Oryzias latipes: one gene and its partners. Each later gene encodes a partner of the first gene's protein in a complex. Links are inferred from orthologs where the notes say so. Each region holds a gene or a part of one and is shown on either strand. Other genes may lie near its edges. The genes, in order: mad2l1, mad2l1bp and mad1l1.

Region 1 (10,074 bases):
GCTGCTGCTTATGTCTGAGGAAAGGAGTAGCCAATCACAAAAGTGTCTCCGCCTTATCTGGTTTGATTGACAGACAGAAACATTCTCCTGAAAAAGCTCTTCATGAAATAAATCAGTCATTGTGAAAAACAGCAACATGAAATAAAAACAAAGCTACTTTGGAAAATATTGATTTTGAAATCCAAGGTTCTGAAAAAAGACGTAGAATTATAATAATATTCCACATGATTAAAAATGAATATTTTAAAATGCTGTTTTAAAATAATGAACAGGTTTTTAACGCAAAATGAAATATGTTGAATAATATAATGGCTAATTTTAAATCTGTGTGCAGCTTTTTCACCATTTCATGATCTTTTTTATATATTTATGAGAGATTTATTGGTTGATTGTGTATTTGCATGAGGTCATATTTATTTATTGAATTAAATATTTATTTATTTAATTATGAACAGGATAGAACTCCATAGTTCTCAGGGCGGACTTCGTCCAGTCCCGGAGCTTTGCTACCGAGGAGCTCATGGACTGCCTCAGTGACTTCAGCTTGAGTGATGGACAGCCCCACCCCAAAGTTCTCTTTCTCTGCTTCCTCAAAACGTCAAAATCACATATTGTAAAAAAAGTATTCCTTCTAAATGCTGATAGATGGATTTTAGAATATGAAACCATAGGAAGTAATTATCAATCAGAAGAGCTTTTAACCATGTCATTCTAAATGTAGCTTCAAATTGATGCCACCTTTGTCATAACTTTTAAATAGTTGGGAACGTTTGATATGGGGGGTTTGTTTTTCCACTGGACCTGAAAAGTAATTGAGTAAACCTTCTTTAACCTTTGTGCTATCTTAGATGCCCCCCCCCCCCCTTCCATTGAGGTGTTCTCCCCACCATGACAAAGGTGGATAAAGGTGGAAAGATTTCATGTAATCCATGGACACCAGTGAAGATCACAAATCATTGAAGAAAAAAGGTTCAGAGCACTGTCTAGTGGGTCTAGATGACCCACTGTCTAGTGGGTCTAAATGACCCAACTCCCAATGTTAAAGTTCCTAGGATAGAACAAGGGTTAAGTTTGGAGAGGATGTGTACAAAGAATAGCAGGGAGAAATTATCTTAGAGACTCCCTCTTTGGTTAACAAATTTCTCCCAAAAATAGTTAAAGCTCTTGTCAGTCAGCGACTTATACTTTGCTTCACATCAAGCAACCAGTTTGAAATGTTGACTTCTTCCGTCCTTATTGTGTTTTTTAGACAATAATGCACCCAGATATTTTCCTTCATTAACAATCCTGATGGCTTCAGTAGTTTGGTGATGACATGAATAAACAGGGATAATTTCACATTTTGTAAATTTTCAAGCCTGATGCTTTGAAAAATAACTGAAACCTGTTTTAGAGCTTTAAAAACCTCTATGTAATTTTTTAGAAGCCACTCCTTTGTTATCCGGGTAACGTGTTTGGGATGGTTGTCATGCTGAAAGACCCAGCCATGCTTCATCTTCAATGCTGATGGAAGGAGGTTTTCACTCTAAATCTGACCATACATGGCCCCATTCATATTTTCCTTTACACAGATCAGTCGTCCTGGTCCCTTTGCTGAAAAACAGCCCCATAGCATGATGCTTCCACCCCCATGCTTTACAGTAGGTCTGGTGTTCTTTGGATGCAGGTCAGCATTCTTTCTCCTCTAAACAGTAGAGTTCCTACCAAAAAGTTCTATTTTGGTTTCATCTGACCATAGGACATTCTCCCAGTCTTCTTCTGGATCCTCCAAATGCTCTCTAGCAGACTGTAGACGGACCTGCACATGTACCGGCTTTAGCAGGGGGACACGTCTGGCCCTGCAGGGTTTGAGTCCCTGGTGGTGTAGTGTGTTACTGATGGTAGCCTTTGTTCCTTTGGTCCCAGCTCTCTGCAGGTCATTCACTAGGTCCCCCATGGGGTTGTGGGATTTTTGATCACCGTTCTTGTGATCATTCTGACCCCACGGGGTGAGATCTTGGGGGGAGCCCCAGATGGAGGGAGACTCACAGTGGTCTTGTATGTCTTCCATTCCTTAATAATTGATTTCTTCACACCAAGCTGCTCACCTGTTGCAGATTCAGTCTTCCAGCCTGGTACAGGTTTGGTTTCTGGTGTCCTTAGACAGCTCTTTGGTCTCCATAGTGGAGTTTGAAGTGTGACTGTGTGAGGTTGTGGACAGGTGCCTTTCTATAGATAACCAGTTTAAACAGGTGTAACTAATACAGTTAACCAGTGGAGGACAGAGGATCCTCTACAGAAGTAGTTACAGGTCTGAGAGACAGAAATCTTGATTGTTTGTCAGTGACCAAAGACTTATTTTCCACCATAATTTACACAAATAATTAATAATAAATAAACTAAATATATAAATTATTAAAAAGATCGGACGATGTGATTTTCTGGATTTTTTTCACATTTTGACCTTAATAAAAAAATAAAGGCCAATAGCGGCAGTCCTCTGTGACACATGGCCGCTGTGACAGTGCATCAGTGTTCTGGTGCCGTGCCACTGGCCTGACTTGGCCTGTGGCTCCTCAATCCAGCGCGCCAGCTGGCCCTCCGGCTCCTTAAAAGACATCAGCCACTGTAGGGCAGCCTGATCAGTCCTGACCGTGAAATGAAGACCCCCCAGGTAATATCTGAAGTGTCTAATGGCACTGACCACAGCGAGGAGTTCCATTCGGGTGGAGCACTAGCCTTGCTCAACTTTGTTAAAGGTCCAGCTGTAGTATGCAACCACTCTGTCCCCCACAGGTCTTACCTGGGACAGAACTGCACCACAGCCCACATTGCTGGCATCCGTGTCCAGTAGAAAGGGCAGAACAGGGTCAGGTGGAAACAGACCAGGTGCTTACCGCTGCCATCTTTTCTGTGTCTATAGGTGTTTTATTCACAGATGGTTTGGGTGGCTCATCTGGATATACATAACAGACAGAGCTCTTCTTTTTTCTTGAATCAGACTTGGTTTTGTCAGTCATGGACAGGGTGTGAACTACATGGGACCCCGATCTAGAGGAAATTTGGTCATCTGGATAACATGTCCATCAGAAAATGTAAGGGTTCCTCTCTTGGTATCAATAACACAACCTTGGGCCCGCAAAAAAAAATCAAGGCCTGGTAAGCATTCTTCCAAGTCAGCAATCCACACAGGCCAATTCACTTGCTGGTTTCCCACCTCCAGAGTCACAACAGCCTCCCCCTGCATGAAAGTCCGTTCTCCAGTAACAGTCTGTAATGTTACAGCGTTAGGAAGGATGGCTGCATTATTCCTCACCACTGCAGGGCAGTGTTGCAGATGAACCTGTGTCCACTAAAGCTAAGCATGACGCTGCATCAACACTCATAGTTGTGAACCAGCAGTCACCAACCCAGGTTCGGCCCAAAGTCATTAGTCTCTCAGATGGGACTTCTTTGACCCCCACATGGCCAGCATTCCATTTCTGTGGGTCCAATCGGGATGGTTTTTCAGGGGGCCACATTGTCCCGCTTATGCGGTCCCGTTCCTGTTTCCTTGGTTGTCCGGGCAGTCACGAATCAAGTGCCCAGGTTTCCCACAACCCCAGGAGGTCCTGGGTCAGCTCCAGTCTCTTTGGGGGCGGACCTTGGATGCCTGTTCGTTTCTCAGGGTCACAGCTTTTACTAGCTGGGTCAGCTCCTCTGCCCGTGCAGGCCCCTTGGTGTCAGGCTCTGATACACTTGCAGCTCTAACCTTTGGAGGGGCCTCAAGCTCCACCCTGGAGGAGGGCCTCCACAGCATTTTTCTCTCTGTGGCCAGCTCCAGGGCCTCCTGCAGTAACTTACGGTGCGCTGGTTGGGTTTGAACGCGAAGGTCGTCTGGTCCCGGGCTAGCTCTTCCTGAATGGCTGGGGGCATGTGAGCATAAATCTGGTTAACTAATCTGTCGATGTCAACAGCCAGAACTCTTAATTGCTCGCCTTGGCCGAAAGAGCTGCCCCGGTAATGCAATTGTAGCGTCCCTTTCCCACACACTGAGGCACGGAGACTTAATCTCTTAACCCTTGTGCTATTTTAGATGACCCCCCCCTTCCATTGAGGTGTTCTCCCTACCATGACAAAGGGGGATAAAGGTGGAAAGATTTCATGTAATCCATGGACACCAGTGAAGATCACAAATCATTGAAGAACAAAGGTTCAGAGCACTGTCTAGTGGGTCTAGATGACCCAACTCCCAACGTTAAAGTGCCTAGGATAGCACAAGGGTTAAGGTTATTTATTCTGGTTACTGTAGGCTGTAACCAATGCTGCACAACTTGCCCAGAAACTCTTGTATCCTCCCGCTGAGAGCACTCCCCCAAACTTTATTCCCTTGCTCCTGCATCAGCCCCATTTCCTTATTCGGGCCATAGCTGAACCCTATTGGACCAAACTCCCCAACTACAGGTTGAGCGACAGAACTGAGAGCCAATCAGCATTTCTGCTTGATGCGTTCAATGAACACCGGAACTTAGAACGCGACCCCACAGCCACCCAGTACACTGTGTTACATAATTTTTCACCACACTGGTTTAAAAAAATAAAAGACCCTTTTGGGTTATGACAGGTTCTTAAAAAATATTTTCCAATAACAAGCAAAAAGAATTGAAAATTGTAATGAAAGCTCTTCCCTCAGGATTATTTCAACTAATGACCTCTCCCCGTAACCCTTGTGCTATCTTAGGCACTTTACCGTTGGGAGTTGGGTCATCTAGACCCACTAGACAGTGCTCTGAACCTTTTTTCTTCAATGATTTGTGATCTTCACTGGTGTCCATGGATTACATAGCGCACCTCACTCCACTCCGTGCTGAAAACAAATCCACACACACACACAAGAAAAACGTGCCAAAGAAACTTCCACTACACACTAAAAAGGAAATAAATACAGTGAGGAAGACGCTGCCACAAGGGGCCCCTTCACCAACACCACACGCACTGGCGCCCGACTCACACCTATGCAACAATAAAAAGGAATCAGAGTCAACAACACAATAAATACAGCACCACTCTAAAACACATTAAAATGTATAATAAGGGTGGGTAAAGAACACGCAGTGGCTCATGACATCTGCAACACGTCCAGCCGCTAACAGAATCTAGTTAAAAGAGCAGAATAAAAATGAGTAACCGGTGATCTACATTCTCCGACAAGAGGAGCTTCAGCCATACATACCACCATGCAGGCAGGCAGCCACTGTCTGTCAACTCACTCCCTGTTCCTTATAAAGAAGCAGAACAGCTGAACTACATCCCCAATCAAGCAGGCATGCACCTGTCACAGGCCGACCTGCCGGTTACTCAAGGGTGGGGACATAAGATAGCACAAGGGTTAAATATCACAAGGCATCTAAAAATAGACCCTCTATTGACAATTAATGATATTGATATTTTCAATAAAAAATGCTACAACAAACATATATTTACTACTTTATATGAAAAAAGAAGCATAACACCTAAAGGAGAAATTTATTGGAATAATATTTTAACTATCATTTGGACAAAAGCATAGTTACTGCCAGAAACATTTGGCATAAATAACAAAATTAAAGAAATACACAAATGAATTCTACATAACATTTACCCCACACTATGTTCATATTCAAATTCTCAAATATAGGAAATAACTGTAGCTTTTGTAATGATTTCCCAAAATCAGTTCTTCGCCTTTTCTGCCATTGTCAATTCTCCCTTAAATTCTGGATCCAATTGAAAAGATTTATAAGCATGAACAGTACTATTATTATATATTTCAAACACATTCTTACATATTTTAACTCGCAGGATCAATTGGTAGGAAATAGTATTGATTTGTTACTACTTCTATTTAAATAAGTGCTGAGTAAAAAAAACCAAAAAAACAATTTTACAGGATTTTTGATAGAGATTATCAATTTTACTAATATCTTCAAAAGATTATTACATTCAAGGCATAACACTGAAACAATATGAGCTTTTTTGCTTGATGAATAGTTCCCTCTACTGAGAAATACTTTAATATATTTTTATTTATTTTTGTTTTTAAATTTTCCTTTTTGCTAACGATGTCCCTGTTAATTTTATTTACATACTATAATTTATTCTTTATTTTTTAAGATAACATTGATTTTTGCCATCTGACGGTAAACTTGCCGATGTGATGTTTACTGTTGTATAAATAAAGTTTCAAAAAAAGAAAAAAGTCATTTTCTCCTGTCTAGGGTTGACCACGTGGGGAGGTCTGTCTTTTTTGCGCATGCGTAGAGGTTGTCACTGATTTTTCAAATCGGACGGCGGGTACCAGTTTCAGCCTTCAGTGCAGCAAGAAGCCCGACGTTTCTTTTCAACGGTTGATTGTCATTTCATGAAATGACGAGTACTTTAAAAGGAATCACCCTTAAAGGAAGCGCGGAGCTGGTGGCCGAGTTTTTCTGTATGTTTCAACATTTGTTTCTGTACTAGCCGGGCTTTTCAACGGCTCTTCCTCATTTGTTGTGTGCTAGCGGGCGGTCGGGCCCGCGTGCTCGGTTGTTGTGTGTAGCCAGCGAGTGTATTTACGGCGGCTCCAGACCGAAGGCAGAGCCCTAAACCGTCGCAGCATTTTAAAAGCCTTCCTTCTGAAGCCAACTTCTTAAAGATCGAATGGCTGCTTCTGGTCGATGTGTAGGTTAATGGCGGCTTTCTAACACCGCCCACCGCCAGGTGTGCTGGTAAAGAAGCCGAGCGTCACCAGAGTTAAAGTAGGAATGCTAGATTTCGGGTTGAACAGACACAAACTACTTATCATCGGCTGAGTAACTAACGTAGAGTAGTGTGGACGAAAAGAGTGTTCTCAGTCTTTGACCTGAATTAACGTCACAACCCCCCCCCCGCTAATAACAGCCCCGTGATCCTCCCCACAGCCTTCGGCATCAACAGCATCCTGTACCAGCGGGGCATTTACCCCCCAGAGACGTTCACCAGGGTCACTCACTATGACATGAGCCTCCAGGTCTCCACGGAGCCCAGGCTGAACAACTACCTGACCAACGTGGTGTCTCAACTCAAAGGTAGTTTGTCCTTTCTTTGTCCTAAAGCAGGCCGTGTCTGTTAGGACTTTATTTTTCTATTTCTTAACATGGAGGCAATGATCAAGATGCAATTCCTGTCTGTCAGCGTCCAGCAAAGGCTTATTGAAGACAAGAGGCGTGGGATATTGTTTCTCTTTACAGATTTATGGGATATGGAGGTGGATGTTGGGATGATTGACACCTCATGTTGTTTCCACGTGTCGATGTGCCTAAATAGTGATGTTTTCCTGCCCAAAAGTCCTCTAAAAGCCCAAAGAGTTCATCATAATTTAGGGTCAGACGCAACATTGAAGAATTTACACAGATTTCTCAAAGTCATTACAGAAATGATGAAATGCATAGATTAAAACCGTAAGTCACATTTGCTTGATTGAATGAGACACAAACTTGTCTTTGTGGTTCTTGTCAGTTTGGTCTTGAAGTTCCTGCATCCCCTCACTTTGTTCCTCCTTCATTTTCTAAGAACTCTTTTGTGTTGTTTGGTATTGAATGGTAACGATTTCCCACTGGCTCTGAATAGAAGTTAAAACACAACAAGATCATACAGTTTTAGAAGTCTGGATTGATCAAATTGTTTGTATGATCAGGATATCCGGCTTTATGTTCAGTTCTGACGGCTCATTTTTGAAGTAAACAGAGGATGTAGTGAACTCTTAGAATCAGTCCCCCAAATTTCTACACAGTCGGTCAAATATGGTAAAATTAAGGAGCAGTGTAATAAATATCTACTGTCGTATTTTAATATGTTTAGATTTACTTATGATGGAAATACTTTTGGAGACTTTATTTTGTGTGTGTCTGATGTGAGGCTTTAACTTAGTTTGTCATCGATAAAAACGCCTGAGAATCTGAATTCTGTAACACTTTAAATTAAGACATTTATTTTAATTGAGACATCGGTATTGGTGTAGTAGTTAGCAAAATATGTCACACTAGTTTTATCTGGGTTAAAGGAGGATTTGTCGTCAGCCATGATTTTATTTTGTGTGACCCTTGTTCTATCCTAGGCACTTTAACGTTGGGAGTTGGGTCATCTAGACCCACTAGACAGTGCTCTGAACCTTTTTTCTTCAATGATTTGTGATCTTCACTGGTGTCCATGGATTCCATGACATCTTTCCACCTTTATCCACCTTTGTCATGGTAGGAATAACACATCCATGTAAGGGTGGGGTCATCTAAGACAGCACAAGGGTTAACTCTATGTTCACCACATTAAGTTCCCTATGATTGTTTGTAGAATGGAATAGAATAGATCTGTCATCAGCAAATAATGAGTTTTAATAGTTGTGAGACATTGAATATATCATTTATGTAAATACTGAATAGCAGCGGGCCCAGAATTGATCCTTGTGGGACACCACAAGCTATCTATCAAGAATCAGCAGAAAATTAGCATCCTGAAGACGTTTGTGTAGCTCGGTTCGTGTGTTGGTGGTGTTGAAACAGCAGGAATAGGTTTTTCTTGTGTCATGTTAGAACAGGCTTGTTTTCCAGATGGACACACCTGGTCCAGGTAAAACGGGACGGTGATCTGCAAATCTCTGAGCCTGGACTTACCTGGTCTGCGTGTTAGGCCTTAAAGCAGGCGTGTAACGCGGGTTTGGGTTTCAGAATGGCTGTTTGAGTGCAGCGTGCAGAAGCTGGTGCTGGTCATCACCTGCCTGGAGACCAACGAGGTGCTGGAGCGATGGCAGTTTGACATCGAGTGTGACAAGTCGGCCAAAGAGAGCAGGTGAGCCCGCTCTCCAGTTCCAAATGTCTCAAGAGGAAAGGAGCTTCTCCAGGGGCTGGCTATCCCACCACCGCTAGCGTGATCCGCGGCGCGCTGTGGCGTGGACGAGAAGCGCATTTCTTCACATAGGCGTGTTCTGAAGCAGAGTTTACATTTAAATGTAGGTCAAGGCTAGAAAACCCATGTTGTGTGTTTCTCTAGCGCTGGCAGCTAAATGCTAACGTAGAAGATATGCAGCTATTGATGACGCCATCCAGGACTGGTAATGTTCAAATGTTTCCATAACTGCTGGAGGGGGGATGGGCAGGAGCTGGGAGGAATTGGGATTCGGTTTAAACCTTAAAAAAGGTTTTCTGTGGGGTTGGGACTCGGCATGTACTCCAAATCAGGTTCTCATTCTGAGGGAGCAAACGTTTCTGTGGTTTTTATTTCAGGCTGCTGCTCTGCCGTCCAAATAGCTACAATGACTGAGTTTATGGAGAAAAGTGTCTTCAAATCCGGACGTTACAACCGCTCCACAACGTCATGAATAGTAGTCGGTCTGCTGCGTTAGCGCTCAGAAAATACACATCATGGGTTTTATTTAAAAAGTCACGCATAAACAAAGTCATGACTTACATTTAAATGTAAACGTCTGTGCTTCAGCGCACACCCACGTGAGGAAATGCGTTTCTCCTCAACGCCACAGCGTGACGCGGATCGTCCTACCAGCAATCCACCACGGCTCCTCCTTTGAATCACTGTGGGACACCACTACAGCTCCAAAATGCCCCTTCAGCTGGAGCCAGAGGGGTAGGGGGGCAGTCCAGCCTTTGTTTCTGTGTGCTGACCTCTGACTCTGATCCTTTCAAAGCAGTGCTCCCAGAGAGAAGTCCATCAAGACCATTCAGGATGAGATCCGCTCCGTCATCAGACAGATCACGGCCACCGTCACCTTCCTGCCTCTGCTGGAGACGCAGTGTGAGTTCCCATAATCCATCTGTGACTCCTGCAGCTCCTCCCTGCTCGGCCGGCCCTCTGATTAGTTGTTCTTGCAGGCTCCTTTGACCTCCTGGTGTATACGGACAAAGACTTGGTGGTTCCTGACAAGTGGGAAGAGTCGGGGCCTCAGATAATCGACCAATCAGAGGAGGTGCGCTTGCGCTCCTTCACCACCTCTATCCACAAAGTGAGCAGCATGGTGGCGTACAAAAGGACCGACTCGGCTTGCAGCACCTGAGCTGCAGACGTTTACTCTGAGCTCATGAGGAACTCCTGCTTTCCTGGACTGGACTT
Region 2 (9,695 bases), on another chromosome or scaffold:
TGTCTTTTTTATTTTTTTTATTAAACTACAAAAGCAAATAACTTTTTCTTCCGTTTTTTGAAATATATATATTTTTGTTTTTCGTTGTAATTTTTGTCAGAACTACAACAGTTGTAGTTTTTCCAAAAGAATGCACTTACATTTTTTTTTATCTTCGGAAGACAGTGGATTCATAAATAATCGTTGTAAAACGCTCATATCAATTAGATTTTTTTACTTCATGAAATCTAAATCATATCCGTCGTTTAACAAAAAAAAGAAGCAGTGAGCATGGTGTCCAAATTGCATTTAAATTCAGGGCACTACATAGTGGCGCTCTATATCATTTTTTAGTAGTTAGGGTGGGAATTCGGACATAGCCAATAACTCTGTAGTCTACGGAAGCCTACTGCATTCAATAAAAAAAAACACAACAATAAAACTGGTGTTTTTGTTCAAACTTTTTTTTCTTCATTTTTTATAAAACTACAAAAGCGAAGATTTTTTCTTTATTTTAAAATCTATTTTTTTGTTTTTCGTGCTAATTTTTATCAGGACTACAACAGTTGTAGTTCTGGAGCGAGGAGATAAGGGGGCGTCTACAACTTGCGTTACTTGAACCTGCTGGTTCACTTTAACAGAAAGAGGAATAATATTACAGATTTCTGTGGAATTTTTTTTTTAACGATGATACGTTCTTGCCATGTTTTGGAGATTATTTATAGTTGAGTCACTGAGAAACTGCTGTTGTTTGTTTGGGATGTTTTTGTGCACTTTATTGACGGCCCCTGCCTCCCTCTGCAGTTTCCATCAAGGCAAACCTTAAAACAGGCAGATCCTATCTGGAACAACTCCTCCTGTAGCTCATTTCCTGCATTTCCTCAAACACAAATAAACACTTCATGCTGGACAATATAACGAATTCTTCCCCAACGTTTTCTTAAAGTTTGCAATTATTATTATTTTTTTGGGGTTTATTTCCAAGAGAGATCTTAAAGGCAGCTGTTTTTCCCTCCAGTTTATTAAAATGCATTTTTATGCAACCTTTCAAATAACCCCATATAAAAAATAAACTTTTATACAAAACAAGACAAGTCCACAATGCAGAAAATACGATAATATAATGAAAAGAACAAAAGATAAGTAAATTTAACATCAGTTAAACAGACAAACTTGAAAAACCAAATCATAAAACAGAAAGAAACACTTCTCTAGAAGGTTTTACATTATTTAAGTCCTGATCACATCAAAACTGGCAGTCAGAAAGATTCCATATGTTTGAAAAGTTCTCAGTTGTAGAGTGTAGTGCTAAAGTTGGGGGCTCTAAGGGATGTGGTCCATAATTAATTTTGTTGGGGGCTTCTTGGAGATTTTTCTTCAGGCACAAAAGTTTCGAACATTTCGACCCTTTTGAATCCTCTGCAGGACTGGACGTGCACTTCCTTCGCGTGCGCCCGTCACACGCCAGCGGCCAGAGGGTTCTTCCTCTGATGCTCGTTCACGGCTGGCCAGGCTCCTTCTACGAGTTCTACGGGATTCTCCCACTTCTCACTAAGAACCAGGACGGCGTTGCATTCGAGGTCATCATCCCGTCCATCCCGGGCTACGGCTTTTCCGAAGCCTCTCACAAACAAGGTGGGTGGCGCCTCATCGATCCCAGGCTTTCCCGCTCACGCTGAAGTCATGGACAAAGTCTTTCTCCTCGGCAGGGTTGGACAGCCTGGCCGTTGCCAGGATTTTCCTGAAGCTGATGGAGCGTTTGGGGTTCTCGCAGTTCTATGTGCAAGGAGGGGACTGGGGCTCCCTCATCACGACCAACATGGCACAGATGAAGCCTGAGTGAGTCCTGAACAGCAGCCTGTGGGAACCACAATGTCTGCTCTGTGAGAACAGATTCCCAAAGACGGTCAAAACTCTCGTAGCTGAACAAAGTGCTGTGAAAGAAAGTGAAAGGGTCTGGCATTTGATCTTCTGCAGGTGTGTGAAGGGTCTCCATCTCAACATGTGCATGTCCACGAGGGGCTTCAAGATAATGCTGTCTCTGATGATCGGCCCCTATCTGCCCTTCCTGGTGGGCCTCACTCGGGAGGACGTCCGACGGCTGTTCCCGTTCTTTAAGAAGAACGTTTGGGAAATCCTGAAGGAATCTGGCTACATGCACATTCAGGCCACCAAACCCGACACCGCAGGTGAGAGGCCACGCCCGGAGACCGGGGACAGAGTGCTGGTCACGCTTGTCCTCCGAGATCCCCTCTCAAAACGATTTCATCCTCAGGCTGTGGGGTCAACGACTCTCCTGTCGGGCTGGCGGCCTACATTTTGGAGAAGTTCTCCACCTGGACCGATTACAAAAACAGAGATCTGGCCGACGGGGGACTGGAGAGGTAAAAAAAAAAAATGCTTCCGTTTCTATGGCAACCTCTCCCCATGTTTCACACATACGCCACCTGATTTAACGTTTTATTGACCTTTGACCTCAGGAAGGGGCCACCATCTTGAAATCACCTGACCCCCCCCCCCCCCCCCCCCCAAAAAAAAAAGTCAACAAGAAATCTAAACTCCTGAGGGATTTCTATCCATCACCTCATCAAGCATCGTTGGGAAGCTACTTGTAAATTAATGTTGGATTTTTAGAAGTTTTACATTTTGAATGGGGTTAGTGTGGCCAACTTGCAAAATTGGCGTTCCCGTTGCTTGCACATTTTTTTACTGGAACGTTGTGAAGTTTTAAAATGTGAATCCTCAAGCTGAACAGAGCAATGGCTGTGTCCACATTGGAGGGCTGCGTTCTTTGTGGGCGGCTTACGTCACAGCGACAAGCGCTGTCCGAATTCAGCGACTCCTTCAAATGCAGCCGAGTACGTCCTTCTCTTTCACGATTTTAAGGATTGGTCTGGTGTGTCCTTCTACACTGCATATATCCCAAGATGCATTGCGGCCCAACTTGGACCTGTCCTGACAACAATGGCGGACCGTGAAGCGGGACCCAGAGTTGGAGATAATTACACCTTTTTAATAATTACACCTCCAAGATTAAAAGTTGGATCAAATAAGCAGGGAATTTTTTTAAACTCCATGCCTCCTCTCTTCTCCTCTCCTGTGCGGGACTCACGGTTGCTAGGCGACAGGACATACGACACGAACATATTAGGAAAGTGGGTGGGGTTAACAAAAAACCTGTTAAGGAAATCAAAAAAAGATTGCTTTTTGCAGATTCTTCCAACAATGACAGACAACCAGAATTTCAAGTGGTTGCCATGGAGATAAAACCAATAGAAAAGCTGCAGTTAATTTCTTTTTTTTAATGAATTTGTCGTGTGCTTCTCTAACCAGTGTGGCAAGGGGAGAATTGGGGGGCGGGTTGCAGTAGCTCAGGCTTCACGTGTAAAGGCTCATTTACTGGGGTTAATTTTTCAGTGAACATCCTTTTTTACAGGAAGTACAGCTTGGATGACCTTCTGACCAACGTCATGATCTACTGGACCACCGGCTCAATCGTTTCCTCCATGCGCTTCTACAAGGAGAACTTCAAGAGCGACCCCAACAGCAGAATCGATGGCCTGTATGCAAACACACACACACAAACTTTTACTCTCCAATCCTGACATTCTTTTTCAAAGCTGTTGATCCTCGTTATTCTGTGTTGTAGAACCGGGATTTTCGTGCCCACCGGTGTGGCGGCGTTTCCCAACGAGCTGATGCACTGTCCCAAATCCTGGGCTCAGATCAGATATCGGAACATCCAGTCCTACACGCTCATGCCGAGCGGCGGTCACTTTGCCGCCTTCGAAGAGCCCCAGCTGCTCGCTAAAGACATCATCCAGTTTGTGAAGAAAGTGGAGAAGCTGTAAATGCAGAGCAGGAGTCATGATGCTTTTGGTTTTAATTGTAATTCATCATTCTTCACACAAATATGCTTTAATCTTCTCTGCACCTGGTTCGCTCTCCTTGATGCTAGTTAAAAATCATTTTCAGTGAATAACGGATGTTAACTGTGTCCCGAGATATGAATAACAAAAGCAACGACTTTTGTCAAACCGTTCAAGTCTTGTTCATTAAAATGTATTGCACAAGCGGCGATGTCTGGTGTTTTCTGGAAATACCTGCATATTCTGTTCCCCACACAAAGACAAAACATTCTTTTGTATGCCAAAGGTAAAAATAATAATCAACACACATGCACATGAATGTCATGATCTTAATGCGAAAAAAAACAACCATTTTACTAAAATAAACATCCACTCGTTTATATTCCACACAGACACACATTCTGATGATCCAAATCCCTTTTAGTGTTAGTTGCTGAAGCCCTTAATAGTCACAGGTGCCTGGAACCAAACATAATCCTGCCAGTCGGCCTTTTCCCTCTGCTTCTCACAGACGTTGGGATCTGTGGCCAAAGCGATGATCTGGTTTTTGACCCGGGTGGGAATCTTGAATTGTAATTTGGGGCGAAACCAGTCCACGCCGCAATCCCTGTGAGCCAGGGCTAAAACGGTGGTGGGCATCAAGCGAACGGGTCTGGAGTCGGACAGGAGGTCGGCGACGAAGAGCGTGCGGAAGAGGAGCCTCAGGCAGGAGGACGCTCGCAGACCCTGCTCCCCGCCGACCAGCAGCAGGTCCTCCATGTTGATCTCGTAGAGCTCCTTCGGCAGGACGAGGGAACCGCCCATCATCAGTAAGACGCGCGGGACTCTGCTGAGGGAGAACAGCACTTCCAGCTGGTGGAGCACCTCCTCCAGCTCCTGAAGGGTCTGCTGACACTTGTAATCCACGTCTGCGGAGTGGACCTTCCTTGGTCTCACCACATCTTTATCCTGAAAAGAAACACCACAATTTGAATTTTCTATAAGAGCCACCGACGGCTGGAAATGTGCTTCTCACCTCCACGTCTCGCTGCTGCTGCCGCTTCTGGGAGAACACGAGCTGCTCGTACGTCATGGGGAGCTGCTGCCGCTGGTAGAGAACGCATTTGAGGATCTCGCTGACAAAACGGTAGCTGCCATCTTGGGTCACGGGGCCGGGGAAGATCACGCTCACGCAGCCTTCTTCCTTTGCTCTCCTCACCACCTCAGCATCCCTGTCCTGCGTGTTTGAGTGGCGTTCACTGGCAGACTCCTGACAGGAAGTGGCCTCCTCCTCTTCCTGTTGCTCTTCTGTAAACAGTCCATATCTGTTGCCAACATCACAGTAACCTGGTAGACATATTAACTAATTGACATATAGATTTATGTAAAGAAATCGATGGCTAAAATATAAAGGTTTATTTTAAAGCCAAATTATGCTAATTATTTAGCAGGAAGACCACATAACAGTCAGAATGAGATAAACGTGTTTCCTTTTAAAATTCTTCTAAACTCTTTCGACATTGTTACCTTGATGAATTTCTGTGTTTTCTTTGTCCTCTTCGCGCTGTTCAGAAGAGACATCGGTTCCGTTTGGGACCGTCGCTGACAGCTTCTCGTCAGTCGGTTGAGGAGAGTTTGAATCGTCAGAAAGACATTGTAAACTCAGGTCTAAGTACGTTAAACTCGGTTCTTCTCGTGAACTAATTTCTTTTTCGGAGGGAAAAGACAGTCGCCGCTTCACCCTGCTGTCTTCGCTGTTTGCGGCGGATTGATTTTCGGAGACTTCGGGATCTAGAGTCGTTTTTAGCACCAAACAAGGTTCCGCCATGTTTTTTTGAAAGTCGGCGCCTGCTCGGCTCTACCCAACTGCACCATGGGAAATGGTTGAAGTGGTGCGTTCAAATTTTTCGGAAAAAAATAGTTTAAAATGTTTTCTGTCTTGTTTACAAACGAATAATATAAATAATAATCATCATAGGATTTTGTATTGTATGTTTGACTGGCATACTGTAAGACATTAACTCTAACATGTAAACACATCATACTTTGACCACCAAAACAAAACTACAGAAAAATCATACCATTCAGAACAATATTTTATAAACTAAAGTACCACATATTTTATAACATTTCTTTTGCTAATGACAGATTTTTAAGTCGGGAAATCACACTGCAAATGCCACACTAAACAATGCTCAGTGCACCCCCTAGTGCCTGATTTGTGTAGTGCATCCAGTAAAAGTAGCCTTTCTTCCTCAGGTGTGATAATTAGTCGACGTTCACGTGGAAGAAGATTAATTCATTACCTTGAAGAAAACAGAAAGACAAGGGTGACGACCTGAATGTTTCATTCCTTTGAGTGGTTTTATTTTATCATGTCTTCCGTGCGCGTGGCTGTTCGAGTCCGCCCTTTGAATAAAAGGTAGATTTAAGTTTGCTTAAAAATTGGCACTACTTCTTCTTGCTCATGATGATTATTTGTTTTTTAACATTTTGTTTTTGAATATATATTTTTTGAGCTCTTCTAATGATAACTTTGTCAAAAAAAAGCTTTTTAACCCAACTGTGGTTGTTGTTGATGTTCTTAAAAATGTTTAGTTGATTGTTTTTGGCTTTTTACACAGGGAACAGCAATTATCATCCAAGAAAACGGTTCACATTAGGGGGAACACAATATCCATTCAGAAGGTATGGAATCACAAAATGATGCGAGAACAGTCTGTAGAAGTGAACAAGGTCAACAATGATCTGAGTTTTTGTCTGTTTTTATGTTAGTCTTCACCTGTGCGAGGGGAAAAGGTGAAAGACAGAGAGAAAACATTCTCATTTGACTTTGCTTTTGACTCCATGGACACAGAAAGCTCCACGTTTGCATCCCAGCAGAAGGTACATGTTTATTCTATATGATGGAAGATCTTCTGATCTTTATTTTAATTTTATTTTTTACCAAAGTTTGTGCTTGCAGCATATTTGTTCTTGATGCATTTTGTTTTGCTCAGATTTTCCAGGAATTGGGTTGTGGTGTGTTGAAAGCTGCATTTGAAGGGTTCAACGCCTGCATGTTTGCTTATGGGCAAACAGGCTCAGGGAAATCCCACACTATGATGGGTCTGAAAGTGAGTTTTTCCAGTATTTTCAGTACTTTGTGGCCTGCCCTGTGCAATGTGTTCATGTTTAAATATATATGGTATTAAGCAATAATAAGATGAATGTATATAATTTGAGAACATCAAGTTTTAAATTAAATAATTTAGTTTTTACTTAAAAAAACTAATGAATATTAACAGTTAGTGGGCTTCTTCCTCATGCTTCTTACATCTACTTAATTTCTTGTTCATCCTTTATATTTTTAAAGGGTTTCCCTTTTTATACGTGTTTTTTTGATCCATTATTAGTCAGGGCCTTTTGATGATGTCTGCAGGAAAATGCCATGAGTGTGAGGGCAGTAACCGCTACGAGCACCACAGCGTTTCAGATTTCTGCAGCTTTGCAGAACATCACAGAACCTTTTTAGGCGATGCAGCTTCAATAGACTGGCTTGTCTCTTTTTTACTAATCAGAAAATTTGACGTGCCCACTGAAGCATTTCGCCCTTCACCTTATTCTTCGATGGAAAGTTTTAAAATGTGGGAAGAAGTTTCTGCTTGTCTTTCTGGAAACGTATACAAGGTCATGAGCGGAGCTGCTGTTCAAGCTTCTGGATAATTCTATATGACTCTAAATGCTGACTGTCTTTTGATTTGTGATTTAAAGAAGGCAGCCGGCTCACACTGGAAAATTGCTTTCACGCTTAAGTAACTCCACTTCAGATCAGCCCATTTGTTAATCAGCAGCATTTGCTTGTGTTTCTATAGCAACACTGAAAAAAACCCAAAATATTAACCACTAGTAGACATTTTTTTTAAAGATATTGCTTTCCATAGTGTTGTGAACATTTATCTAATCACTTTTTTTGTCAAATTTAGGATGATAAAGGTTTGATCCCTCGGATCTGTGAAGGTTTGTTTATGGAGATGTCCGAAAGAAGCAAAACTGATGCCGTTTCGTTTCATACGGAAGTCAGGTAAGTTTTAAACAAAAGCAAAACCTTTTTTAGACAAATATAGAAGTACAGTTGTTTACTAAATCAACAAACCCCTAAAAGATGCATTTAGCTTAATACTTTTATTGAATGTCGGTATTTTATCACCTTGGGTGCCTTTTTTGTTTCTGGTTCCCGTTTGAAGTCTTTGCATTTTTAGTTACAGTCTCAAATAATTGGCGCTGACATCATCGCCCCGCCTCCCTCCTGGAAATGCTGACTGGAATTTAATTATGCGACACTTTTTGCACTGTGGATGTGAAAACGAGAAATTCAATCTCCTCTTTGCATTTTTCACTTTAAAATGAGCGATGTTGAAGTAGAAAATTAAAATGCATTTTGGAGGATTGATTTTTAACTTTATTTTTGAGTCATTTGAGGTAATTTGATGCAGTCACATTGTGAAAATAAAAAAGCATTTCTGTTTTTGCCGATTTTAATGGTCAAATTAGATATTTCTAATGAATTTTGCTGCACATTTACCAGAAAACCTTTTGAAAATAGCAAAAACCATTTTCTTCATCATTTTATTTAAGTGACAGAGTGAGCGGTGTTGAAAGAAAAAGAAAGCGGTTTGGCAGATTGACTTTTCACTTTATATGTGAGTCAACAAATGCAGCTTCATTTTGAAAATGAAAAAGCATTTCTGGTAGTGACCTCTATTTTTAATTATGCTACAGAAACGCTTCCATAATTGGGAACTTAATGAGACGTTTTTTTTTATTTTAAACTTAGTCGGTTTTCATGGATCACGGAGGATGGAACCACTTTGGTCTAACAGAGCTCACTTAAATTATTTATCGTTATCGAGATATCAAACTGTGCAAAATGCATATCGCAAAAGTCGCTGAAAATGACGATAAATGATTACGTTAAATGTGCTAAAACAATCTTATGGCATCAAATATATTCTTTATGCATTTGTCTAATCAGATGGAGATCTTTTATGATAGATGGTCGCCTCCTATCTAGACTAAAGGGTTATTTGGAGTATAATTTAAGTAATTTAAGACTCTCCTTTACATTAAACTGTTGCAGTGAAATGGAAATGATGTTTTTAGTTGTTTTGCTGTTTGTTCATGTAACGCAAGTTATATGGTCATCGAAATATTGATCACAAATATCGTAAATTGCGAATTTTCATATATTGTGGAGCCCCTAAATGTAATTAAAGATTATGTACAAATTCATTTAATCTCATACATTCATCAGCCCCCCTCCTTTTTTAATGTTTTAAACAAAAACAAAAAACAATTAAAATAAAAAAACTTTAAAAATAGCAAATCTTAAAAATAAACCTCAGAATTTATTCTTTTCTTGTTGCTCTCGACAACAACAATCTTTATCTGACAAACTCCTATTCACTTTTAGTACAATAGATGCAATTAAATTGTTTAATGAAAGATTCTCAAAACAATAGTTTTTGACTTGAATATAAAATTAAAAAACGGGGTAAAATCATAAATGTTTGGATTTTTTTTCCCTCCTCTTTGTCAGACTTTTTGTTTCCACAGCTATCTGGAGATCTACAACGAGCGAGTTCAGGATCTTCTCAAGAAGAAACCCTCACCGACCACTGCTGTGGGTTTGAAAGTGAGGGAACATCCCCAAAATGGACCCTATGTTGAAAGTAAAGCAGGAAATCTATATTATTTTGGTATTTAAGATCTGGAAAGAAGTGTAACGGCAAACTGTGTGCAGATCTATCCAAACACGTGGTTCACAGCCACGGTGACGTGGAGGGTCTGATCCTTCTGGGCGACGCCAACCGCACCGTCGCCAGCACG
Region 3 (9,956 bases), on another chromosome or scaffold:
ACATGAACAGGAAAGGGAAGAACTTTCAAAAGAAAACAGGAAGCGACACACGAGGACACAAATGTCAGACAGGAACTTGACGAAACATGACAAGAATAGGTGTCTTCTGTTTTTGAGGAAGGTCAATACAGGGTTATAAGAGTCCTTCCAGGTGTCTCCAGCTTCTGCATCAGTTTTTGTGGAACAATTCACTTTAAAACAAACAGAAATTTACCAACCGCAGTTTTACAGGCTCATGTAAGATAAAATCAATAAGATGACATTTGCAGTGGATACATTCTTCTCTGCACTGGTGTGATTTAAAGATTGACTGGACAGCTGTTCCATTTGAGAATGACTATGTGGCTCTTTCTGTCAATGCTACTGGACCAGAGCAACAATGAAGTTCTATCAAAAGTACTTGTAGCAAGATGCATCATCACTCCATGTTTGACATTTTAATGCTGATATGGTAATAACACAAATTAGGTGCAACAAAATACTTTTTCAGAAACCCCTTTTTATGACTTTTATGTTTTAATATTGACATGCTTTGAACAGACACAAGATCTGTGCTTAACTGGTGAACTTTAACAAGTGTGTCTGAATCTGGGTCTTTCTGTGTACTAAATGTCATCATACAAAGATCCCTCTACTTATCTTGTTCAGTCTGGTGAAGATGCAGAGAAAAACAACAGAAAGGGACGAGAGGGTGCCAGTGACACATACAAAGAGACAGCATGGAGAAAGCTTTAATAGCCATGAATGCGAGAGACGGTAAGTACGATCGAAAAAAAAACACAAGACACAGAGGAAGTTAGCTGAATACTATTGGGATGAAAGCATATAGAAGGAATTGTAACATATAGAAAAAGGCAGCTATTATATTACATAATAGGACAAAATGCTCTCTCTTTGACTTTTTCAGACAGATTCCCACCCTTTCAGAGGATCTCTTCAAAACTCAAAAAAGCCTTAATAAAGCCACCTCTTTGTCTCCCCCTAGCGTTTATTTACACGTCCACAAGCTCTTTGTCTTAGGAGAGAGCATGATCGTTGTAGATTTAAGAGAATTTTTTTTTGTCTGATGGAAAAATTGGGATTTTTCTGTCTGTTTACACATTCTGATCCTGACTCAATGTATGACAACTCATTTGGTATAGAGATTAGCAGTGCAGCTTTACAATAAATAACATTTCCCAATTCATTTTCTTTTTTCTTTTTTTATTAAAGGTGGACAAACTTGTTCCTCAAGGTAACTAAACCATCAGTGCAAACTATCTTTTTGAATTTGAACATATCACTAAATTGATAAACTCTATGAGAATATTAAAAAAAAAATCAGTCAACTGGACTTCTTTCATGCTTTATTTTTTAAGACATTTCACTTCTTCACCAAGAGGCTTTCTCAAATCTGGAGAAGTTTAGAGAGCCTCTTGAAAATTGGATGAAATATCTTCAATAAGATAACAAAGTCCAGCTGACTGTCCAGATTTATTTTTCCTACCATTGCTTTGATGGAATCCAACTGGATGAATCTAGAAAGACTTTTTATCATGAGAAACAAATGTTCATAGTTTTACTTTCCCAACTTTCCTTTTGAAAAATACAGGTCCAAATCTACAAAATGTTCAAAACAGTTCCCATGTGCTTCTCGTAAAACCTTGTGCTATCCTAGGCACTTTACCATTGGGAGTGGGGTCATCTAGACCCACTAGACAGTGCTCTGAACCTTTTTTCTTCAATGATTTGTGATCTTCACTGGTGTCCATGGATTGCATGAAATCTTTCCACCTTTATCCACCTTTGTCATGGTAGGAATAACATGTCAATGTAAGGGTGAGGTCATCTAAGATAGCACAAGGGTTAAAAATCATGTGTAGATGTTGGGTCAGAGAAATTACTGTATTGTGCTTTTTCTTTTAACCGATATTTTTAAATTTCAGCTTTTATCTTCGCCCTCCAATTTCTGACTTTTTTTTATAACTTGTGAGCATGATTTCTTTTGAGACTGGACCATCTACTATCTATCTTTACACACCTTGAAGTAACTGCTAAGAGATAAAAGGCTGACATTTCCTTCTCTTTGCAACTGACCAACTTTAAAAGAAAACACTTTGCCTTAGCATGTAAACAAATAATATAAATTAGAATAAGCCACTTAAATAAATACATCAGAGGGACGGCTCATGTTGCCTGTGTTAGCGACAAAGTCAGAGAAGCCAGACTGAGATGGTTTGGACATGTTCAGAGGAGGGATAGTGGATATATTGGTAGAAGGATGTTGGAGATGGAGCTGCCTGGCAGGAGGGCAAGAGGATGGCCAAAGAGGAGATATATGGATGTCTTAACAGAGGACATGAAGTTGGCTAATGTTAGGGTAGAAGATGTTCATGATAGAGTGAGGTGGAAAACGATGATTCGCTGTGGCGACCACTGATGGGAAAAGCCGAAAGAGAAAGAAAGAATAAGCCACTAAAATCTTACCATTAGCCCAAAGAGACATATTATGTTCTTGGAATGAGTGGCCATTCATCTGCAATTTTTGAACTTCATTAAAGTTCAAAAATGTGGAAAGAGTGAAACTCTGCTGCTCTCTGCAGGAAAATCTAGGTACCTAGATATTTAGGAATCATGGTCTAACATGTGATGGTAAACATGTTAGAAAATAACAAATCACTAATACGAAATAAGAATTGGAAGAAACAAAAAAAAAATAGAAAAAAGGCACAAAAGAAACAACTCAAGGAGAAATGTATTAATGCCGGATAAAAAAATCAAACAAGTACGGGAGAGGTTTTAAAAATATGCTCATCAAGAAGTTTTTAGTGCGGCCAAAACTGCAAACCAGAGGTTTTCAAAAGACCTGAGGGCAGAACATGAAAAGTCGCAGACGGCAGCTGGATCCCAAAGCTCAAGAATCTTGAACAGAGACATTCCTGGAGGAAGAGGTTGAACATTTGAAGGAAGCTCACAAAAACCTCAGCTCCAAATCCGATGCCCAGATTTCAGCTATACCCAAAAGTAAGTGGAAATCCTATACCAAGAGCTCGAAAATCAAAGATCTCCTGCACAAGAACTTCAGTTCAAGCAGCAGATCATCAACAGCCTTAAAGAGGAGCAGGACGTTTCCCTCCACGCTGTATCCAAAGAGATCCTCCCCATGCGCGACCATTGCAGAGAGCTGTGTTTTCAGGCAGAGCTGAAAAATCAGAAGTTATTGTAAACAATTAAATTTATTAAAGTTAATTTAAATTAAACAAATTAAAAGTGTTTTAGTTCTAATTAGCAGACAGTAAAACAAAGTATGTGTGCAGCAACTTGTGCGATTGTTATTTTTAATGAGAACACCTTGCACTAAATCAAGGCATTTTCACTCTTAAAAAACTATGTGCAAAAATGCTTCCATATTTATGTCTTATGGTATATTTAATTGAAGAAGTACAGTGTTTTAGGTTCTTCATGTGTCAAAAAACATTATTTCTGCCCCCTCTGCTTCTGAAAAAAGAAATGTGTACCTTATTTGCCATGAAAAAATAACTGGAAACTGCTTCAGAAATGATTGATTACTAAGAGATGTCTCCTATAAACCTCTGCATAGAATTTATGATTGTTTTAATGGCAAGATATATTAAAGCAACTGATCCCTACTGTTTTTTCTGTAAAGAACACCCAAAAAGTATTTTTATTATTATTATTAATAATAATGATTGTTATTATTATTTTTATTAATGTAACGTACTAGGTTATTTATCATACAGTCAATACGTATGATATATGCCATCTCCTGTAACTGCGTTGATTTTGCAATTGAATAATAAAGTTAAATGGGGAAAAAAAGGTTACTTCCTGTTGGTATTATCGCGATACTACAGGCTCTCATTCGAGTACTGGAGGGATTTCTCGTTTACTTGCTGAGCAGCTGCTAGCACATTAGCAACATAACAAGAACTTATCAGTTCCCGACAGACATTTTATCGTAAATAAGCTAGTTCTGGGGTAAGTTGTTTAGTTTTTACCCGAAACTTTACAGAACCTTTTGGTACGATAAGCGAGCTAGGATCTCTTTAACCTTTGGACGTTTCCGTGTAGGTGTTTGTCTCATCATCATCATGCTACTTTAATTATCGTAACTGAAAAAACAGACAAACAAACAAAAAACTTTGAATTTTTTGATCTCGAATGTATTTTTAACATGTTTTTTTTAATATGCATTATGTTATTGTTCTCGTCGTTGAACTTGGTATGTGTTTCAATTTTAATTTATGTAAATTAAACTTTTTGTTTAAGCTTTTTATCAGTAAGTCTGGTGATTAATTGACATGTTGTTACTTTTTTGTGAATTATTTTAAGTCTTCCTGTGACAGCTGACGACTTGATCGCGTTTTTATTTATTTTTTAGTTAGATATTTGGCAAAATGGTTATAGTGTTTTGGCAACTTTTTTAAAAAGTTTTTATTAATAGATCTGCGTAATTGCAGAACAACTCCCTGGCAATACATGTCTTTAACACTCTTGGATCAAAACTGACAAACATAAGATGTATCAACTAGTTATAGCCACTTTTTAACTAACATCATGTACTACCTTAATTTGTAAATGTTTAAAGCAGTCGATTTCTTCTTTTTTATATTTTAGGATTGTTTTTCTTTTGAGTTTTTGTATAGTCTATCCATTAATCCTTTAGTACTTATGAGCAAGAACATGATCTATATGTCACATGGTGCTATAATGTGATATTTTGATGTTCTTGCTTGTGTCCTCCCAGCTCTTGTGTCTTTACTACAACACCAGTAAACCCAAAATGGACTTGGAAGATGACACAACCATTTTGAGCACCTTAAAATCTTTCAACACTTTCATCAGTCGTCCTGAGCGTCCACAGCTGCCGTCTGAGCGCTCAGCAGGCAGTGGAGTTCTTCAGAGTCAGTACAAACGCAGCATGGAGGTACAGATAAATCATTTGCTGTGAAAGCAAAATTCAGGAATTAACGACAACCATTCCATCTGACTATTTGCTTTCCCTCTGGCGCATTACTAGATTTTGGAAGCAGCAGAGAGGGTTCACTCTCAGAATCGCTTTCTGCAGTTGGACCAGGAGAAGAAACAGATGGAACTGAGCCACAAGAGAGCTCGTTTTGAGCTGGAGAAAGCGGCTTCCAACAGTGCACGAGACTTTGAGGTATAGTGCATATTCAGCCTTTTCACAGCCATATACAAATAGCATTTGATTATTTTGTGTTGTTATTTTGCAGCATGAGTTGGACAGAAACCAGGATCTTTTGGCCAGAGTTAAAAAGTTGGAAGGGAGGGAATTTGAAGCGGATAAAAACTTATCAGACCAGGTTGAGGAGAACCAAGTTCTCCGTAGGAATCTAGAGGCCGTGAACAAAAAGCTGGAGGAGCGAGACACCAAGCTGAATACGGCTAACAAGGTTCCCGCACAGACGCACACCTATCTGTCTCTTCAGGAATGTCTGTCATCTTACATTCAGTCCTTCTTGCAATCTGTTTCCAGACCATAACTTCTTTGAAAGATGAGCTCAGAGAGTTGAGGCAGAAAATTCAAAACCAAGACTTGGTGTTCTCAGCCCAAACCTTGGAAAAACAGGAGCTACAGGAACAGCTGGATCTGCAGCGCAGGTAAATCCCAACATTTATGATGGTTTTCTTCTTTTTGTTAGATTAATAAGATGTGTTATTGTGTTTTTTTTTTCAGGAAATATCAGGAAATCTCACAACTATGTCAAACTCTCCAAGCTGCCCAGTCTTTATGCTCAGAGCACATTATAAAAATAAAGGTAGCAATCACTTAAAAAATTTGTCGTAAAGATTAATATTACATTTTTCAAGTCTGGAGATGCAATAAATGCTGTTTGTTATTTTAAATCGTATCATTTGAATGAATCTAAATCAGTTTATGATGAAATGAAAGTACTGCATGCTTTGGTAGAAGGTTAAAGGAGCTTTTCTTTTTGGATTTCCCTCCGTCTGATCTTACAGGAGCTGGAGAGGCGTCTTATTCTGCAGGAACAAGACATGGCAATCGTGAAGACTATCAAGTCGGAGGCGGCGAAAGTTACAGATCTGGAAAAAGAGTTGAAGCGCCTTCGAGAAGAAAATTCTTTTCTGAGGTGGAAAAATTTATACGCTTATGATTTGTAGATGTTTAATTCATCATTTCTTTATTTTATTTTATTGTGCTCTTTTTTCTTTTCTTTTTTTGCAGATATAGCAATGTTTTATGAAAAAAAAATTAACAAAATAGACATGAGCCTGGATTACTAATGAATAATAATGAAGACAACCTCTCAACAAACAATAATTCCCCTGGGTTTTTTGGTTTGGGATTATTTCTCAGCAGGACAAAAAGATTCAGCTTTTATTTTAAGCTTGGATATCGCAGCTAAAATAACCAGTTTCTACAATGAATGCCATTCTCCTGTGGAAGTGTCAACACAATGTTTCAGTGTGAAAATGGCTGCAACAGTCACAGAAGCTAATGACAATGCTGACTGTCAATTGCCATGATAACTGATGTGAGAAAATCTAGTTTTCATTGACTGGATTTTAATAATCAGTTTTAGTTTTTTTTTTGTTTTTGTTAATATTTTCATCTAACTTTATTTTATCAGAAAATTCCACCAAATACCATTATGAAGGGAGAACAACAATCTGCTGATTTACCGCTATCATGTCTTTGTGTTTGCATGTTGCTGGGCAGATTACAGATGCTTTTCCGAATTCACTTATTTGTGGATTCTGTCAACATAGTTTCATTAATAAGTATTTTTAAAATATGTTTTTAATATTGCTAATTCACCCAAAAATATTTAAGTTAGATGTGTAAATAGAATAACATAACAAACTGGATTTTCAGCTGTTTGAATTTCTCTCTTTTAACTTCAAACTTGATTCCTTTCTGAAGATTTTTAATTATGTTAACATTTTGGTTTACTGTGGAAAACACTGCTAAGTTGCTGTGGAAGAAAAGGAGCAAAAATGTTATCCATTTATCAAATCAGTTTGATCTATAAAAAAGTTTTTTCATTCTTGAAATATCCAGTAACAGATTGATGATTGCTGAACCCTAAGCTTAGAGTGACTGTGTGGTTCTGCTGTGTTTCTATTTTGTCAGAGAGAGCAGAGAGAATTACAACCTGTTGAAAGAAGAAGCAGAAGGACTTCGTAAAAAACTGGAAAGGATGGAGAAAACCAAAGAAGAGCTCGTCAATGTGGAACTTGAAAAACAGGTGTGATATAACAACACAAATAGTGCCGATAAGGACACAACTATGCAACACAACATGCACAGTTTAGCTCAAACACAAAGTTTTGCCACCGCAAATCAAAAGTAAGTGATGGAGATAAATCCAGTATATCGGAGAAAGTTTATATTATGCTTTTGTAGTTTGGGCTTTTGATTGTTTTCATTTCCCTTAATGTTAATTGTACCTTTTGTTTTTAGCAGGTTTTCTAATAGCGAACATTTTTTATCATATTTTTATTTTTGTCTGCACAAGAAAAGGATAGAGCCGCATTCCAAACACAAACTCAGAACCCAAATGAAACGAGGAGCAACATTTTTTTGTGTGCATCAGTGGATGCAGACGACCTGCAGACACTTTCAAACCCTTTGAGTTTGTCACAAAAGCAGGAAGCCTCCATAAACCACATGAAGCTGTTGGTACTTCGGTGATCCTTCTTCTGGGTTTTGGTTCTTTAGAGCTCTACAGTTTAACTAAAAAGAAGAAAATTAAGTTATAATGAAAAGGTAAATAATAGGAACAACATCTGCTACATCACACAAATATGTGACACATGTCACACATTGCCGGCTCCGCCCCTGTTACGAAAGGCTTCCTGCACATTGAAGGCTACGCGCCGTCACATGATGCTACCTCCACCTCTGTCACAAAATGCTCGCTCTGCCGCTGTCATAGGTCGATAGCTCTGCCTCCCTCACAAAAGGCTGGCTCCGCCTCCCACACAAATAGTTGGCTCCACCTTCGTCAAAACGTGCAGGCTCCGCCCCATCGCAAATAGAAAAACTCTGCCTTTGTCACTATTAGTTGGCTCCGCCCACACCACAAAAATGCTGGCTACGTTACGCTTTGCTTGCTATGCCCCTGTCACAAAAGGTTTGCTCCGCCTTCACACATTAAATGCTCCGCCCCATCACAAAATTCTGGCTCCGCCTCAGTCACAAACAGATGGCTCCGCCCTATCAGACAAAGCAGGCATGGGGGACACTGTGGTCACACAGAGGCAGGTGTGTGATTACATCTAGAAAAGGTTGAGGGGTTAAATTTAGCCTTAACCAGGGCACTAAAACGGTTACTGGTAAGCTTAGCAGCAGCCAGAACCAGATATGGAGTTCATTTGGACTTAGAAAGGCAGAAGCCCAACCTCCTAAGAGGAAGGGAATGGAGGAGCCAAAGCTAAAATGAGGATGCCTGCAAGAGGTGTCTGAGGGTCTGGTCAGGGATGCAGACAGGCAGGTGGAGGAGGCTGAGGAAAAGGCAGGAAGCAAGGAGACTAACCTAATATCAAGGGTCCAACCCTCTGAGGAAGGTCAAAAGGAGAAGTTGGCAGAATCGGCTTAGTTGATGAAGATATTCCAACCAAGACTGCAGGGCTAAGAAGTTGACTTTGTGAATGGTGTTTATTTGTTACTTTTTAACTTATTGTTTATTTAATTCTTGGAGTGGTACAAAAATCATTTCACTGCTGCAAATGTGGATTGATTCTTATTTCACATTCAGAAGTACTGTAGTTTGGTTTGGTTAAGAAATTATTGCTCTAAAATTTCATTCTTCTTGCTGGGAAATAGGCTGAGAAATTGGTCTTAGATTTTAACTTGAGGAAACATGTAAGAACCCTGATCATAGACTTATTTTTCATAAACATGAAATGTTTTTTTGGATTTTAGCATCTGTGGTATTTTTACTGTAACAATCTTTTGTTACATGGCTCTTCAATGTATTTTGGTCTACGAAAAGCCTGGGCTAAAAAAATAATTACAAGTATTTAGTACTCCTTTAATGATAAGATTAAAACAAGGAAATCCTTTTTTGGATGACAATAACAAAACAAGAAAGAGACAATAAAGGTTATGAGCTGTAAAAAAATGTTGTAAAGATCTTTTTTGTTGTTGTTGCTGTGTTTTAATAATTCTTTTTTTATTTATTAGGCCTAATTCTCATTAAATCCTAAATTCAACAGTAACTAGGCTTAATTATTATTCTGTTTTCCCTTTCAGAGGTTGGTTGAAAAGCTCCAAGCTTGGGAGAACCTTGGGCAATCAACTGGACTCAACATAAGGTCAGTCACTGCCTGAAACCAAACCTTTTTTTTTATGTCAAATGAAATGCACAGTATGACCACCAGATGGCACTGCGATCTTTCTGATTCATGGGGGTAAAAATAGATAAAGAGCACTTTCTCTCTTTAGTCAGTTTGTAATGTCACCCAGGTACCAAAATTCAACATTTCAACAGGCACAGAGCTCACACATGCTGGATATGAGGAGGATTGGAGCTTTGGATTGGAACAGGACAGCCACTGAATTTAACACGCAGTAGAGGATTGAGTCTTGTTTCAATGGTGACACTTTAGAACAGGGGTGGGCAATTATTTTGACTCGTGGGCCACATAGGGTTCTAAAATTGGGTAGAATGGCCAGACCAGGAGCAGATGCGTGGAGTGAGAAAGAAATAACATGGAATCTGGATGAAAACATCTGGATTCAAATTATATTTTCAAACTTTTGTTCTCAATTTAGAGCCAATTGCACCAATGGCTTGATGTACCTTGTGTAAAACTTAGAGAAATGTTGTGTTTGAATGGTAGGAAGAATGAAAAACAACAAATCTTCCAACACCACATGGATGCTAGAGCAGAGTCCCCAAACTTTTTCTTGTGAGGGCCACAACAACTCTTTTTCTTTAAGCTTCTTTTATCTTTCTTTTATTGTA

What was found.
Region 2: the proteins of mad2l1 (region 1) and mad2l1bp are in contact, whole or in part, in a crystal structure (PDB 2QYF), measured with the Homo sapiens proteins. The link is inferred for Oryzias latipes from reciprocal best matches to the Homo sapiens genes MAD2L1 and MAD2L1BP. Residues at the interface, in NP_002349.1 of Homo sapiens: Tyr33, Arg45, Thr52, Leu54, Lys122, Asp126, Glu127, Arg129, Ser130, Arg133, Gln134, Thr136, Ala137, Thr138, Thr140, Phe141, Leu142, Leu144, Glu179, Val181, Arg182, Leu183, Arg184, Tyr199, Asp205; in NP_055443.1 of Homo sapiens: Pro61, His79, Tyr82, Gln83, Gln85, Pro88, Leu89, Pro90, Gln93, His96, Ala185, Leu187, Arg188, Phe191, Arg192, Phe195, Asp198, Ala199, Phe200, Ser201, Glu202, Leu203, Gln204, Ala205.
Region 3: the proteins of mad2l1 (region 1) and mad1l1 are in contact, whole or in part, in a crystal structure (PDB 1GO4), measured with the Homo sapiens proteins. The link is inferred for Oryzias latipes from reciprocal best matches to the Homo sapiens genes MAD2L1 and MAD1L1. Residues at the interface, in NP_002349.1 of Homo sapiens: Tyr38, Leu61, Tyr64, Asn67, Val68, Trp75, Gln82, Lys83, Ser89, Ile91, Glu92, Ser93, Gly94, Arg99, Gln101, Ser150, Phe151, Asp152, Leu153, Leu154, Ile155, Tyr156, Thr157, Asp158, Lys159, Asp160, Leu161, Val163, Lys166, Trp167; in NP_001013858.1 of Homo sapiens: Glu527, Arg528, Ala530, Leu531, Gln532, Gly533, Asp534, Tyr535, Gln537, Ser538, Arg539, Thr540, Lys541, Val542, Leu543, His544, Met545, Ser546, Leu547, Asn548, Pro549, Thr550, Ala553, Arg554, Leu557.

What each region holds. Positions count from the first base shown.
Region 1 is NC_019876.2:30,701,063-30,711,136, reverse strand, and holds the start of mad2l1 (mitotic spindle assembly checkpoint protein MAD2A), read left to right. Parts: upstream 1-6,242; 5' UTR 6,243-6,363; coding exon 6,364-6,427; intron 6,428-6,896; coding exon 6,897-7,043; intron 7,044-8,678; coding exon 8,679-8,799; intron 8,800-9,652; coding exon of another isoform or gene 9,653-9,655; coding exon 9,656-9,759; intron 9,760-9,836; coding exon 9,837-10,018; 3' UTR 10,019-10,074. UniProt on the Homo sapiens protein: Component of the spindle-assembly checkpoint that prevents the onset of anaphase until all chromosomes are properly aligned at the metaphase plate.
Region 2 is NC_019873.2:27,028,625-27,038,319, forward strand, and holds mad2l1bp (MAD2L1-binding protein), read right to left. Parts: upstream 5,704-9,695; 5' UTR 5,656-5,703; coding exon 5,355-5,655; intron 5,136-5,354; coding exon 4,864-5,135; intron 4,797-4,863; coding exon 4,275-4,796; 3' UTR 3,845-4,274; downstream 1-3,844. Other genes in the region: epoxide hydrolase 1, read left to right, coding at 1,405-1,614, 1,689-1,818, 1,957-2,168, 2,255-2,363, 3,416-3,541, 3,629-3,830; uncharacterized protein LOC101165914, read left to right, coding at 6,170-6,249, 6,452-6,515, 6,603-6,713, 6,827-6,943, 7,793-7,890, 9,423-9,538, 9,610-9,695. UniProt on the Homo sapiens protein: May function to silence the spindle checkpoint and allow mitosis to proceed through anaphase by binding MAD2L1 after it has become dissociated from the MAD2L1-CDC20 complex.
Region 3 is NC_019859.2:22,952,949-22,962,904, forward strand, and holds the start of mad1l1 (mitotic spindle assembly checkpoint protein MAD1), read left to right. Parts: upstream 1-3,851; 5' UTR 3,852-3,978; intron 3,979-4,747; 5' UTR 4,748-4,783; coding exon 4,784-4,927; intron 4,928-5,020; coding exon 5,021-5,161; intron 5,162-5,234; coding exon 5,235-5,414; intron 5,415-5,497; coding exon 5,498-5,622; intron 5,623-5,698; coding exon 5,699-5,780; intron 5,781-5,982; coding exon 5,983-6,113; intron 6,114-7,117; coding exon 7,118-7,232; intron 7,233-9,241; coding exon 9,242-9,303; intron 9,304-9,956. UniProt on the Homo sapiens protein: Component of the spindle-assembly checkpoint that prevents the onset of anaphase until all chromosomes are properly aligned at the metaphase plate.